Linked DNA regions of Mus musculus: region 2 is reported to be linked to region 1. Evidence: microRNA targets listed by miRTarBase, many of them from high-throughput screens and not tested one by one. Region 1 holds a microRNA gene; the other region holds the end of a gene's coding sequence.
What was found. The annotated mature microRNA mmu-miR-5130 reads CUGGAGCGCGCGGGCGAGGCAGGC and lies in region 1 at 4,897-4,920, opposite strand. An mRNA with a match to its seed (bases 2 to 7 or 8) in the 3' UTR can be bound and repressed. Matches are read on the target gene's strand: a 7mer-m8 pairs with bases 2 to 8, a 7mer-A1 pairs with bases 2 to 7 and ends in A, and an 8mer does both.

Region 1 (7,121 bases):
AGAAATTCTTAAGGAATTCACTTCCTTCACTCAATATTTTTCTAAATATTTGTATAGCTCATTTTACATATAGGAGTACAAAAATTATTTGAATGCTAGATTGGAATTTATCATAATATGAAGAGTTAAAAATTTATCAAAGCTTCGTAATACATGGCTTTAACGTAATAACTGCATTCCATGGAAACGGCCATAGAAATTAGACCACGTTGTAAGCACTGCCAGTTGTCTCTGGGTATTGGCACATCATACATCTCCCCGGAGAAGCAGCAGGTATACACACATATGATTCTGCTTTGAAAAAGAAGACAATTGGGGCTAAAATTATCATTTTGCTAGCAACTGAACAAAAACAAATAAGACACACTAGAATAAAAACAGTATTAAAGGGGAAATTTCTCACACCTGCAAGGTATATTTTCCATTACATGTTTGAAAATCTAGAACGAATGTGGTTTGTAATCCACACGTATTAAAATAAAAACAGACATATCAAACATCTGATAGACAAGCATGGAACCTGGGACCTGTTTTGTTTTGTTTTTTTACAACCACAGAGACTGTCAACACTTTTTAAAAAAATTACTTATTAAACCTAATGTCATTCCATTATTTATGAGCATCAAATGGTAATTTGATCAACATATGCAAATGATTGCCTCTCTGAGATAGATTAATGCAGCCGTGAATATCTGAGTAGTTTATAATATTCTTCTGGGTCATTTCAAAGATACTGATGAGAGAGGCTCCACTGTTTGGTACAGTCATCAAATTCACAGGTGCTGACCGAGATTTCAGAACATTTTATAAGCCCTAAGGGTTTCTTCTACAACCCAAAGTGCATGGAGAGGAAAGGACCCAACGACATCAGCCTGGCTCAGTCATACTTACCTATCATATAATGAGATGACTGCTCAGACTTAACTTGGGCTGAAAAGCACTAAGTTTTTATGCATTGCCCCTAACAGCAGAGGGCACAGTCACTCCCAGGAAGAGGTCCATGTACTGTCCCTTATACTAATGGCCCAATCTTTAACAGGCCAGCCAGTATGGTGGAAGGTACAGAAATGTCTGTGTGTTAGTGAGACAAACTGAATAATTTTCCAAGCTTCAATTCATAAACAATGCAGACAAAACTTCAGCAGTTTCCCATGGCTTCTAGTGTTATGCAGACTTGACAAGGAAGCTAGAACTTCCGTTTTGTCATCTCTCAGTGTATTTTGAGCTGTCCTAAAGATGGTTTTTATTCATACATTTCTTTCTTAAGCAATCTAGCACTGTTCCGTGGCATGGGAGAAGTCTGAGACTCACACTTGGCCAGTGATTGACAGTCCTAAGTCATTTCAGGCTTGAAACAAAGGTTCTGAGCCATTACCTGATCCACCGCCTAAAAACAAGCCCAAAGCTGGAGTAAGCACAGCTTCCTGGACCCCTGCTGCCCTTTCTTTAAAATCACACACTTTGTACATGAAGCTAACTCTTCTCTAAAGGAAAAAAAAATCTCCCAATTAAAATGAAGACATCATTGGATTAAAAATATGGATAGCTTGAATACAGGTAGCTGACACATGATTACTATACAACTAACATCCCAGCAAAAAAGTATGGAGCAAACCCAGCCTTGTAGTTGTGACTGTTTTCCTGACCCAAGTTCACAGGCAAGGATATGAGAAGCTCACCAAAATGCGTTGCTTTTGTATATACACCATCAAATGCAAGTTACCAGGGGTAAATATAGGAAATTTTATAGCATCAGTAGATGAATTAAAAAACTAAATGATTCGTGTAAAATGTTTGTATATGGTATGTACAGATTTGATCACAGGAGTCTGAGAATAAAACTGTCCCAATTCATAACATCTGCCTCGGATATGATGAGATACACGGTACAAGGTTCGTTTTTTAAAAACAAGGAAAAAATAGCTCTAATTTAAACACTTCAAATGGCTCTTACAAAAATCCTTAAAAACATATTTCAGAGTAAGATGATAAAACAAACACACACACATACACAAAGGCTTCTCTGTAATCACAGATTATCCAAAGGACGTCTCTCAGAGGGAAGCATACGGGCATACCTCCTCTCTGCTGTGGTGTGGAAGCATACGGGCATACCTCCTCTCTGCTGTGGTGTACACAGGATACACACTGGGAATTCATTCCACGTGAGAGGAAAGGCAATAAGGCAAAGGTCCCCTGTTTCTGTTGCATTCACCTAAATACCGCGTTATTGCTCGGCTCACACTGAAGTACTTATTTGCCTTCATTTAGAAACATTCCACTTGACAGCTATCTACAGATGGGCAGCCCCCCCCCCCCGTGCTTCCGTTGATCTTTCGAATCTGTCACTGCAACGTCAAACAAACGCAGGAAAGAAAGAGCATTGTTCCGGTTTTCAGAACAGCCCAGCAGCCCACACTTGCTGGCCTTGCAGAAAACATCAATTTAAAAACACTACTGCTAACAATAATAATAATAATAATAAAGAGATCTGAAGTCTAAGTAATTAAAAATCAAACTTATTTTGCTTAAGTAAATAGGCTATAAGTGAGGAAATAGAATCAACAAGAAAAATAAATGTTCAAATCACTAAAAACTCTACTAGGTAACTCTTTGGTTAGGTTATACAAGTATTAGCAACTAAGTTTAGGACTCAAAATAGCTCGATAGACTTCCAGCTGAAGATGGGTCTTCTACTAATCTTGATAAAATCTAAGTTTACACGTACTGTTTCATATTTTTTTAAATGCGCACATACTCAAATGGATTATACAAACTTCCAACTTTCAAATAATAAATGAGCATGTCCCCCTCCTCCCTCCCGCCCTTCCTCCCATCTTTCCTCCCTCCCCAACCCTCCCACAGTCCTAGACCTAAGTAAGGGCTGACTGTCCCTACTAACCACTCCTGCGTTACTGGGTCACTGCCAGGTGACTTCTAGAAGCGCTGCCTCCCGCTCCCTGCCTGCTCCTAGCCTAGAAGCCTTAACCAACAAAACCTAAAGCTCGGCAAACAGCTGAAGAGAAAGGGCGCCTCCGCAGGCAGGAGGATTGCTTTCTACAATTTTAAGCCACAGGAGATCTAATGTGTTGGGGGTAAATAGAACTCTCCCCTGTTGCCAGTACTAGAATTTACTTCTACCTGTAACTTTAAAAACAAACAAAAAAATCTCTTTATTTACAGTCTCTGAACTGCGTCCTTGGGGTCTTCCAGCATACGGTCTACCATTCAATTGTCTAAAACTCTCTTTCTAATGAGGGTCAAATCTCTAACAACCTTTTAAAGCACTCTCTCCACACAGCACTCTCAGTTCTGATCTCTGAAACCGCTATGGAGTCAAAGGGTTTAAGATGTCAAGGACTCGTCCGAACTGCACGCCGGACACCGTGCAATCCGATTCTGATCAATTCAGTCATTCCCAGGTACTTGGTGACTGTCCCACTAGATCACGACAATCTGGGGGAAGGGTGGTTGGAGGCCAGGAGTAGAGGAAGCATGAGTGAAGGGCTACATCAGAACACTCTCTCGGCTAGTGGGGTCCAAAGATGATGAAGACGCCCAGAGGATTTGTGGCTGCAGATTCGCAAGTGGGGTGCAGACGGGTCTGGGTGACCTACTAGGAGATCTGGGGGTGGGGGCAGAAGGAATCGGGAAACAGGGAGGAAGCGAGGGCATCTATAATCCTGTCCCCCGAGGGGAGGAAGGGAAGTGGGCACCGGAGTGGCGAGGGGCGGGCGTGGGGAGCTCACTCCCTGCAGAAGACGTACTCGGTGTAGCTGGTCCAGATCTTGTCCTCGCTCTGGTCGGTGCTGCTAGCAAAAGCGCAGGTGCCCGTGGAGCTGCACGCCACCATGTGGAAGCCCGACTCGGACAGCTTATCGAAGGCCTGCTCTAGGAAGTTGAACTTGAGGTAATAGCGGGAGGTGTAGCGCTCCGGGGGCCGGTCGGGGTCCCGGCTCTCATTCAGGGTGTCCCCAAACACCTCCTTGGCCAGCGACGTCTTGCCGCACACGGTGATGCGCGCCACCCGCCGGAACTTGGCGTCCGCCTGAGCGTCGCGCCCGATGGTGTAGGAGCCGCGGTAGCCGATGGTGATGTAGCCGGAGCGCCGGCTGCCGTCCAAAGACTGGGACGGCGTGAGCAGGGGCCCCGCCGCGCCCCCGGACGGGCTGCGGCTAGCCAGCTCCAGCGTGGGCGAAGGCGCCCCGGCCGAGGCGCCCTCCTGCGGCTCGGGCTCTGCGTAGCCCAGCGGCAGCAGCTCATCGCCCAGAGAGCCCTCCTTGTGCACCCCGCGGCGCGAGTGCGGCGGCGGTGGCCCCGGACCGGGTTGCTGGGGCGCCCCGAGGCGACGCACGAGCTCCGGCAGCTCGAAGTACTCGGCCTCGCGCTGCAGCCGGCTGCGCTCCGGGAAGTAGTCGGGCAGCACGAGCTGCAAGTCCCGCAGGTAATCCAGGATGTAGCGGAAGAGGAAGCCGTCCCGGTCCAGAAAGAAGCGGCCTTTGCTGTCCCGGGCCAGCTCCTGCGGCTGCTGCTGCGTGAACATACGCCAGAGCAGCGAGTCGGGCACGGACACCACGGTGCAGCGCCGGGTCACATACACCTGCCCTCCCACGTTCAGCTCTACGATGTCCGGGAAGAGCGGCGGCTCCGCCGAGGACGACGACGAGCCGCTGCCACCTCCGCCTCCGCCCCCGTTGGGTAATCCTCGGGTGCTGTCCGCCAGAGCCATGGCCAAAAAGAGGTGGCCCGGATGGGCCAAGTGGCAGGGAGCGGGGTCGCGATCGGAAGCCCCAGCGGCTCTTATCGGGGAGCCCTGCGCTCAGGCGGCGGCCGGCCACTGAGAGCCGCGCGGTGCGAGCGCGCAGCAGTGCGCCCACGAGAGCCCCGGTGCGCTGCGCCTGCCTCGCCCGCGCGCTCCAGGCGAGTGGCGGGTCGCGGCCCGCGCGCCGCTTAAGTAGAGCCGCCCGCTTGGGCGGCGCGGCGCGCAGGAGGCGGTGGGCGGCTGCGGAGCCGCTGAGCTCGCTCCCGGGGCGGGGAGGGCTGGGGCGGGGTGGGGGTGGGGGAGGAGCGGGGAATGCATTTGCATGCTAAACGCTGACGCGGCTCGGGGCTGCAGGCTCCACCCTGACCCGCGCGCTCCGGGGGACGACCGGACTGTCACCGCCCGTCCGCCCACCCGCTCCGGGCCCAGCTCCTCTTCCTCTTCCGCAGTGGGTCAGAGCCTCCAGGCGCTTCTCCAGGAGGCTGATCACTAAAGCGATCCTCTTGTGTTCCCACCTCCCCTCCCGCCGCCCTTCTCGGCTGACCGCAGCCGGCACCCGGGGACTCCAGAAGGGGTTGGAAACTTTCTGGCAGAGTGGAAAAGCTTGATTGCCTGCGGCTAGCGCCCTCTAGACCTACCCGCTTCTAACAGTGCAGAGCGCTGCTGTTGGAGATCCATCCCCGGGTCTCTGGAAGTTCTGAAGAGACACTAACTTGGAAAGGATGCACCGGTCCCTTCAAGTCCAGACCACCCAAAGGTTTTTCACGTGACTATGTGACTAGCGTATAGCCTCGAAAAATCCCTAGAAACCACAAGCGAATGCTTCGCGAAAATGCTCTGTTAGATTATTTTGCGAGAGCATAAAGTCTTTGGTTAGGAAACCACAACACAGTACTGCAGTGAGCAGAAATGACTAGGAGAGGAAGTTGGGTGGACACAAAGGGGGGGGGAGGGGCTTACACTGCGTGGGCAAGAAAAGCTAATAAGCGCCTCCAATAGTGGGACGTGAGGCCTCCGGTTGCTTTCAGCCATCTGTAAATCGCACCAGAAAATTCCAATCTAATATTTTCTTTTATTCGTATTATTAGTATTTAATGATTTTACTAGTATTTCATTATTTTACTAAAATTCCGCTGATGTTTTATTTGTTCCTTGAAATGTTAATGCACGTATAGAAAATAATTTACTTTTAGCCCATGCATAACTGTTCTAAAGGTCCAGTAACCCGTGTTCTCCTCCTCCCTCCATCGTTCTCTTCTGTACTTTACAAGACCGTCCACCAGAGAAGAAAGGCTGTGTAGGTCTGAAGGCCCTTCAGATTTAGCCATGCTCTCTATGGACTCCTACTTGTTCAGCGTTTGGAGTCATGCACAAATTTCAGCCCACAGAATTCTGCCACTGCCGGGAAACCTTCCATGGTCTCCCAGGGGAATGAGACAGGTTGCTCTTCAAATTCCCATCTTTGCACTTGGCACGTTCTGAAATCTCAAATTTGTGGTCTGTTATCTGATCGTTGGTTTTTGGTGAATAAATAGATAAGGGCTTCAAGAAGCCCAAGATAGAGGAGACTCTGAAAAACCACAATTTTAATAAATGCTCTTATACGTTGCTGGGCATCAGGCTGTGGAGAATTCAAGGCTGACTACCTACATCTCCTTTAGAGCAGCCAAGAGGCAAAGGGTTGGCCATCTGAACAGTTATCAGATCACTTTGAAGGACAGGCTGTCAATCACAATAAGCCCAGAAAGATCTTTGTCTTAATAATGATGTCTACCCTTTGTGCGACTGTCCAATGAGCTTGATAGTCTTCTCACGGATGAATGTCATTTTCATTTCTGAAATGTTTATGTCTGCCAAACAATTACTGCACTCGTGTCACAGAGCTGAAATAAGATCAGGCCCCAGACCAGCCTGCTTAATTGCAGGCACAGATTTCTGATACTGAATATATTTCACCATTCTTCAACTGTTCCTTGGGATAAATGATAGATGACAGGAAAGTTCCGAGTCCCGACACTGAATGTGATATATCAGCATCTCAGGCCTGACAAAACTGCCACTTTTCTGTAAGCCCAAGAAAAGACTTCAGTGTCACCTTGGCACAACTGGGTCATTGTTCTATGCTGCCATGTCTCCCTTCAAGATCCTTCCCGTCTTAGGGTCACTACCTCTCCACCACCCCTCAAGACCAAGCCAACATTACCTCATGTTGACCAAGCCAACATCACCTCATTATCACCTCAGATCACTGCCTGGACCTCCAAACTGCCTCTACTCTAGCACCCATCAGTCTTCCATCACTAGACCAAAGAGAAGGATCCAGTCAGACCCTGTGTTGTGTGTTTCTTCCCACGTCACA
Region 2 (7,121 bases), not on the chromosome of region 1:
CTGGGGAGATACCTTCCAGTCTCCTTAGGGAATGCTGTAGTCATATCTCTGCCTTCTGCTTTGTCTCAGTGGTGAAGCATCTCTGCATAATAATGTTTATGCATATGGATTCGATGTTGTCTCTTTGAGAAGGTAGTAATTGTTCACAGGATTTTTAAGTGTATTCCTATATATTTTAAATGTTGCTGTATTTAGTGTGTCTTGTGAACATCAATAAGAAATAACATTTACAGGAAAAGAACAGCAGATTTCTTGTTTTGAGTTTCGACTTGAGCGAAGCTGAAGAAAATGCCAAAATAATATGCAAATATTAATCTGCCATATGTGGAGCTTCTAGCAATTTTTTTCCTCGGGAGCTGTCATCAGGATTCTGCCTCTCTTATTATTTTGGGTGTTTGTTTGTTTGTATATATATATATATATATACATATATATATATATGTATATATAATCTGTTCTGTATTTCATTATAGTGGGACTTTTCCCAGTGGACCGTACCTTCTCATCATCATTTCTTTATTTGTAGGAAATTTTGACTGGGTAGGGAATGACTTTACCCAGAACGCTGGCACGGGCCTTGTCATCAACCAGGCAGATGTGAGAGACAACAGGAGCATCATTAAGCAACTGAAGGACGTGTTTGAGAGGGACTGGTATTCGCCTTATGCCAAATCCATACAGCCCACCAAACAACCGAACTGTTCAAGCCTGTCCAAACTCAAGTCTCCCTCCAAGCAACCTGCCATGGCCAATGCCACCGGGAGGGAGCCGCTGAGCGTATAGCTCACTAACAGACACACAAGGCTTCAGACCAAATGCAGGAAGGACTAGAGGAAAGACAACAATTTACTACATCTTTTCTTTTATTAAGGAGAAATAAAAAGCACACTTATTTAAAATGTTCTCTGAATGACATGTAATATCTAGCTAACAACATCTTAGCACTGTATATTAAATTTAAGACTTTTGTATCTATGAGCTCTGACAGAGAATGTTGTTCTGGCCTAGGAGTTAGTTTTTAATGACTGCAAACACATTTTACGACTTGGTTCTTGTCTCCTGATTCTTACTGGTTTTAGAATCTTTTCTGCTGACCCATCAGCACTGGTTTTAAGAAGAATAACATGAGGTGAGCCCTTTCCTTTAATATTGCTGAATTCTGGAATTAGAGGAAGGGGGGAGAAGATGCAGACAGAACCAAGCATCTGCCCTGACATATCCTCTCTAAGACCTATCCAGGCAGCTGAGCACAGGCACCTCCATTTCATGCCAGCCTTCAAGACTTCTGAAAAACACTCATTTCTGTCCCCTTGTTCCTTGTCTTCTGATACCAGGGTTTTGAGGGTATCAGTCTGTCTTCTGACAAACATGTTCTTGTTTTACATCATCCTTGGATTCATCTCAGCATTAGTTCAAAAAGTGAGAATGTCTTGGGGAAATGATATGAATTCCCCAGAATGTATACAGAATGGAAATCAGTCTTTCACTTTCTCCTTTCAATTACATTTTTTAAACACACACACACACACACACACACACACACACACACACACACACATATCCTTTCCTCAAGCTCCAAAAAAAAAAAAAAGAAAGAAAAAAAAAAGAAATGAAGTGCCCCTGCTAATACCCAGCAAGCCATTAAGTCTGCATTTGAAGAATAAAGCAGTTTCACATTTCTGTTTGGTTAACAGTATTATAAAGGAAAGGTCTATGCGTCGGTGGATTTTAATTTATTTAGAATTATTATGCTGTTAAGAGTATGCCAGCAAATGTTTATAATAGAGCTATTTAATATACCTTCTGCTATTTAATATACCAAATGCTTTTCAGACAAATGCAATTTAAATACTGTGCTTAACATATTTTACTAAGAAACAGAAATATTGGATTACTGTTCTATAATGTCATTGTGTGTTGTTTTATATCTATATAATATATAATCCTGTATTAAAAAAGACTGTTGGTACATGAGAGGGGTGTGACCTCTTCAGGGCCAGAGGAAGTGGTCAAGATGCCTATGCCCAGTGTGGCTCCTGACTCTGTGCTCAGAACAGAGCCCTTCCCTCTTTGGCCCCGGTTTTCTATTGTTAATGTAGACAATAATCCTCACCTACCTCGCAAGGATGCTGTCATGGTAGGCGATATTTATAAGTTGTTTTTGAAATCAAAAGAACCTATATAAATGCTAAGCATTAACATTGCATAATCTTTTTCTTGAAATAATCTCTGTGGTATCCTGGTAGCACCAATACCAGGCACTCTCCCGAAGAATCCAGAGGGCAAAATAAAGCACTTTCTGTTTGCAAACACAGGTGATATGAATGGGGGCCAGGGGTGGAGAAGGTTGGTCAGAGTGACCATCTGAATGGTAGGTATTTGAATGGAACATGCAGCCTGGTCACGGTGACATAAATAATAACACATAACTAGATGCTGCGCTGCAAATGGTCCATTAGCACCAGTGTGTGCCTGTGTTTTTAGAACAAGGATGAGCAATCTCATTTGATCTTGAGAGACTTGGTTTTAATGATGCCAAAAAGAGTTCCCTACTCAAAGGTTCACTGACACAGAAGGCTGTTCACAGTCCTACTGATCACCCATGTTCTTTTCCTGCCAAAGACACCTGTCACCTCACTGGGTGTTTAAAACCAGTCAAGAGAGCTGGGACAGTATCCAGGCATGGCGATGCATGCCATTAATATCAGCTCACTGGGGGGTGGGGGTGGGGCAGAGGCAGGAAGATCTTTGTAGGTTAGAGGCTACATAGAAAGTTCTAGGACAGCCAAGGCTACATAGAGAGAGACCCTGTTTCAGAAAAACAAACAAAAATTAATGGAAAGAAAAAGAGAGAAAGACAGAGATTAAGAGAGGGACAGGGACACAGCATCCGATGAGAAAGCTATGATTAAAGGGTATCGAGTTTTATGGGCTGATTTAAAGACTCTCAGTGATACTTTTCATTAATAATGGTCAGCCTACAAGACTCTTAAGTATTTACCATATACTCCATCCTTGAATTGGGTGTCATCCTGGCAGCTGTCTGAAAATAGCTTTGGGAATAATTTTCCAAGGAAGGAAGGAGGCAATGGTTCAAGGTGGAGACATACTAGCTTGTTCACTCTTGGACAGACAAAGGGAACCTTGGTTGATTCAAAGGGAAACTTCAAAGGTTGTCTCCCTTTGGGCTCCCTCCATTGTCACCCAGATTCCTTGTCAATAGTCTCATGAGACAAACAAAGGTTTGGGGGCATGGGCCCTCTCCCTGTTGCTGCCTTGGGTATTGTGCAATAGGAAAAGAGATCATTGTCACTTATGAAATGACCAGCAGGTCACTTATTCCCAAACGTACCATCATGGCAGCCCTGTGCATGTATCACAGGCATCTGCCACACACCAGGAGCCCTGCCTGACCTGGTAACCCTTGTCTGTGCCATCACAGCTAAGCACATCACCCCACCATGCAACACTCTCCTTCTGCAGCACCCAGGGAAATGATCCCTGTGCAGAGTGCCCAGTGTCATCTGCCCCCTGAGAGAACGTCTAATTCAGGAGACTGCTCTCTTTCAGCAGGATGCTGTCCTACAAAGGGGGCATTTATCTTTTAGACTTTAAGTCTCTGCAAGATAAATAACTAACTTCCATTCTTCCCCTTCTAAATAGCTTAGGATCTATTTCTCAAGAACAGAAAACAAAAAGCACTCCAAGACTACTTGTAATTTGGAGATATACCCCGATGGAAAATATGAAGAAGGTGACTTCGGTCCTACATTTTTTTCTCCAGGGATATTCTGGGTCTGTTCTTCAAAGGGATGGAGACCAAACACAGTTTGAGATACATTTTAGATTTCTCCATCACTAACAATAACTTAGTGCCTTATTTATTCTCAAATGTTGGTTTTCAAAATTCAACAGTGACCCACCATATGGGCCATATCTGCTCACTTTGGAGTCAGCATGGCCTCAGACAGACCAACTGGTTGAAAGCAAACGTGTGGAACCCACAGTTTCTATGCATCCTGCAGTTTTCCCAAGACACATAAAATGTATATATCATCCTCACCAGTCGCTGGCACACACTCTCCTATGTTTGTCCTGGTGACTTTCACTACACTGTCACTGGCTACTCATATATGAAGTCACAGAGCTAGCAGGCCATGGGAAAGGAAGGGGAACATGAAATTGTAACCACTCCCTGCAAATACTATACTTTGTGAGCCTGAAAATGACGGAAACAAGACACAGTGCAAATACCTCCCCCAGCCCAACCTGCCCCCCCCCATTTGTGCTGACTTTAAGGAGTGTGTAAGAAATGCTGCCAAGGTCCTGTGGAACATAACGTGAAAATTGATGTCTTTGAGTCTCGCAGGCTCAGCAAGAGAAATAAAAGATGTGTGGAAGCTCCTGCTTCTGTGTTGCTCGGGGCACTGTTCCCTTGGAATCTGCGCTGCTTGATCTGAGACTCTGACGCCATTCTTAGTCGGATTGGTTGGATCACATTCTGTTGATTGATCTTACTCTTTGAAAAAGGTGTTTTATTAACGCATGGTTACTGGCTTGTCAGAAGCATCTCATTGAACCTGGGATGGGTAGAGAGGCTCATATCCCACTGTAGCTCTTCTCAAGTGACTTGGATTCGTTCATTCTGAGATTCCTATTTGCTTATAGAAATTTATGGAACTAAGTTCCAGAGGGAGAAAATTAAAAACAAAAGCAAAAACAACAAGTCAGGGAGAATTTCTTGGTAGAATCAGACCCAGTGTCCATCTGTCTCAGGAATGCTATTCTTTTAAAATTTATATTTCTCACCTAAATGCATGACTTTTGTAAGGGTTTCTCTCTCCAAATTCTATTCTATTATTTTAAAATTATTTTTAATTCCATTAAATTAAAATTTAAATTCCATTATAATTAAATTAATTCCAATACTTTGAATTATTTAAAAGTTTCATAAATTTTAAATTTAAATATTTTAAATATTATTTTATATTTTCATGTGAAACTGTGTCCTTCCCCTGCATAGAGCAGTCAGCTCCTGTAATGCAAACACTTTGTTGTTATTATTCAAACTCCATCCTATCAACAGCCCTGGATAATAGGTGAATTTTCTCCTTTGCCTGTGTATTCTCAATGAATTGCTGTACCCTATTATAAGAAGTTTGACTGAGAACATATATTAGATAAATTATTCTGTAGCCCATGCTTTCCACCCCCTTCCTTGTCCCCTTATAGTTTGTTTTAGTTAGGATTTTTACTATTGTGAACAGACACCATAACCAATTCAAGTCTTATAAAAGACAACATTTAAAGCCGGGCATAATGGCTCACGCCTTTAATCCCAGCACTTGGGAGGCAGAGGCAGGTGCATTTCTGAGTTCGAGGCCAGCCTGGTCTACAAAGTGAGTTCCAGGACAGCCAGGGCTACACAGAGAAACCCTGTCTCGAGAAACAGAAAACAAAAAACAAAAACAAAACAAAACAAAACAAAACAAACAAACAAAAGGCAACATTTAATTGGAGCTAGCTTATAAGCTCAGAGGTTCAGTCCAGTCAAGGTGGGGACATGGCAGCATCCAGGCAGGCATGGTGCAAGAGAAGCTGAGAGTTCTACGTCTTCATCTGAAGGCTGCTAGTGGAAGGAGCTAGGGTGAAGGTCATATGCCCAGTAACACACCTACTCCAACAAGGCCATACCTCCTAGTAGAGCCACTCCCTGGGCCAAGCATACACATACCATCACATAGCTCATTAACCAGAGAGCTGCCTGTCATTTTTGACCTAAATGAAATTAGGAAGGCTATCCCCAGCTCTTAGCCTACTTTTTCCATTTGAGAATCCCCACCTTTGGATGAACTAGAAGGCACTGCTTTTTATGGCAACTGGATGGGTATTCTAAAGCAGTTTCTTGAAACTGTGAAATTGAGTCTTCTTACTTTTGATCCACAGGCAGTCTTATACTTGGGATTATAAAAGTCCACTGGTCAGTTGGCTTCCATTGGAAATCTAACAAAGAGAAATGTGATACTTAGCTGTGTGAGGAAGTGCATACCTAGGATCCCAGAACTTAAGTGATGAGGAGTCAGGAATTCTATGACATCTTTAACCACATAGCAACCACAAGACCAACCTGGACTACATGAGACCCTGTCTGACAAAATGGCTGTGGGTGAAAGACATGCACCTCCAAACCGAACAAACTGAGTTCAACCCCCAGGACCTGCGGGATGGAAGGAAAAACTGACTCCGCAAACTGTTCTCTGACTCTCACAAATGTGCCTTGGCACACACACTCATGTGTGATAAACACACACACACAAACACACAAATACACTAAACGAATAAATAATAAACATTTAAAATAAATACAGAAAAGGTAAGAAATGTAAGATGTAATAAATTCTTCTGCATTTTCTTTTGTTATATGCAACTACTGACTTAATTCTGTTTCAAGGGATATTTGTGTTTCTAATACACCCTTATATAAATTTATATTTGGGGATATCAATCTTCAGACAATTAACTAAATTGGCTAATAAAAGGCTGAAGGGGGGGCTTTACAGTGATCAATTCTTTTATGTAACCAAACACTAAGGCTTTCTTTTTCAAGCATAAGTATTATAAATCTTTGTCATACTGTGAAGCTAGCCATTTCTTTTTCCCTCAGCTTGATCTTAGAAGGCAGGTACTGCTTTAGACAGTGAATGAGGGAGCTACAGTTGACCCTGTGGAGCTTGGACCACTGTGGAGTGCTTCACCCAACAAACATCCTTGTAATACTATTCCTATCTGATGTTTTTAAAATAAAATGTGACGTCAGGGTGTATAGACTTTGAGGAAAATAAAAAAGCAAACACTGTTTTATGAAGAGATGTCATGTAGACCATGTCCTGGACTTATAGCTGGTCCAACTGCCTATGGTATTCATCCATTGCCCTATCTCAGATCTATGCCTAAAATCTATAGTAAATACACCGTGTCTTCTCTGCAAAGTCCCTTTGGTGTCAGGCTCTGTTTGCAAAGCCGAGGACCAAAGCCAAGTCCTTGAGGACGCTAGCAAGTGCTTTCCCGCTGAACTACACCCCAGCCCCACCCAACTCCATCCGGAGTCTGAAACCTAGAAC

Region 2: the mRNA of Pld5 is a reported target of mmu-miR-5130. Seed matches in the 3' UTR shown: 7mer-A1 at 1,573-1,579.

What each region holds. Positions count from the first base shown.
Region 1 is chr14:102,977,712-102,984,832 of GRCm38, forward strand. Mir5130 (microRNA 5130) reads right to left here and starts at 4,921; the gene lies at 4,838-4,921. Kctd12 (potassium channel tetramerisation domain containing 12) reads right to left here and starts at 4,926. Exons shown (of 1, transcript NM_177715.4): 1 at 1-4,926. The coding sequence starts at 4,729. The coding sequence ends at 3,746.
Region 2 is chr1:175,957,490-175,964,610 of GRCm38, reverse strand. Pld5 (phospholipase D family, member 5) reads left to right here. Exons shown (of 10, transcript NM_176916.4): 10 at 527-2,305. The coding sequence ends at 783. Among named protein-coding and RNA genes, the nearest start is that of Becn2, 41 kb to the right of the region's middle.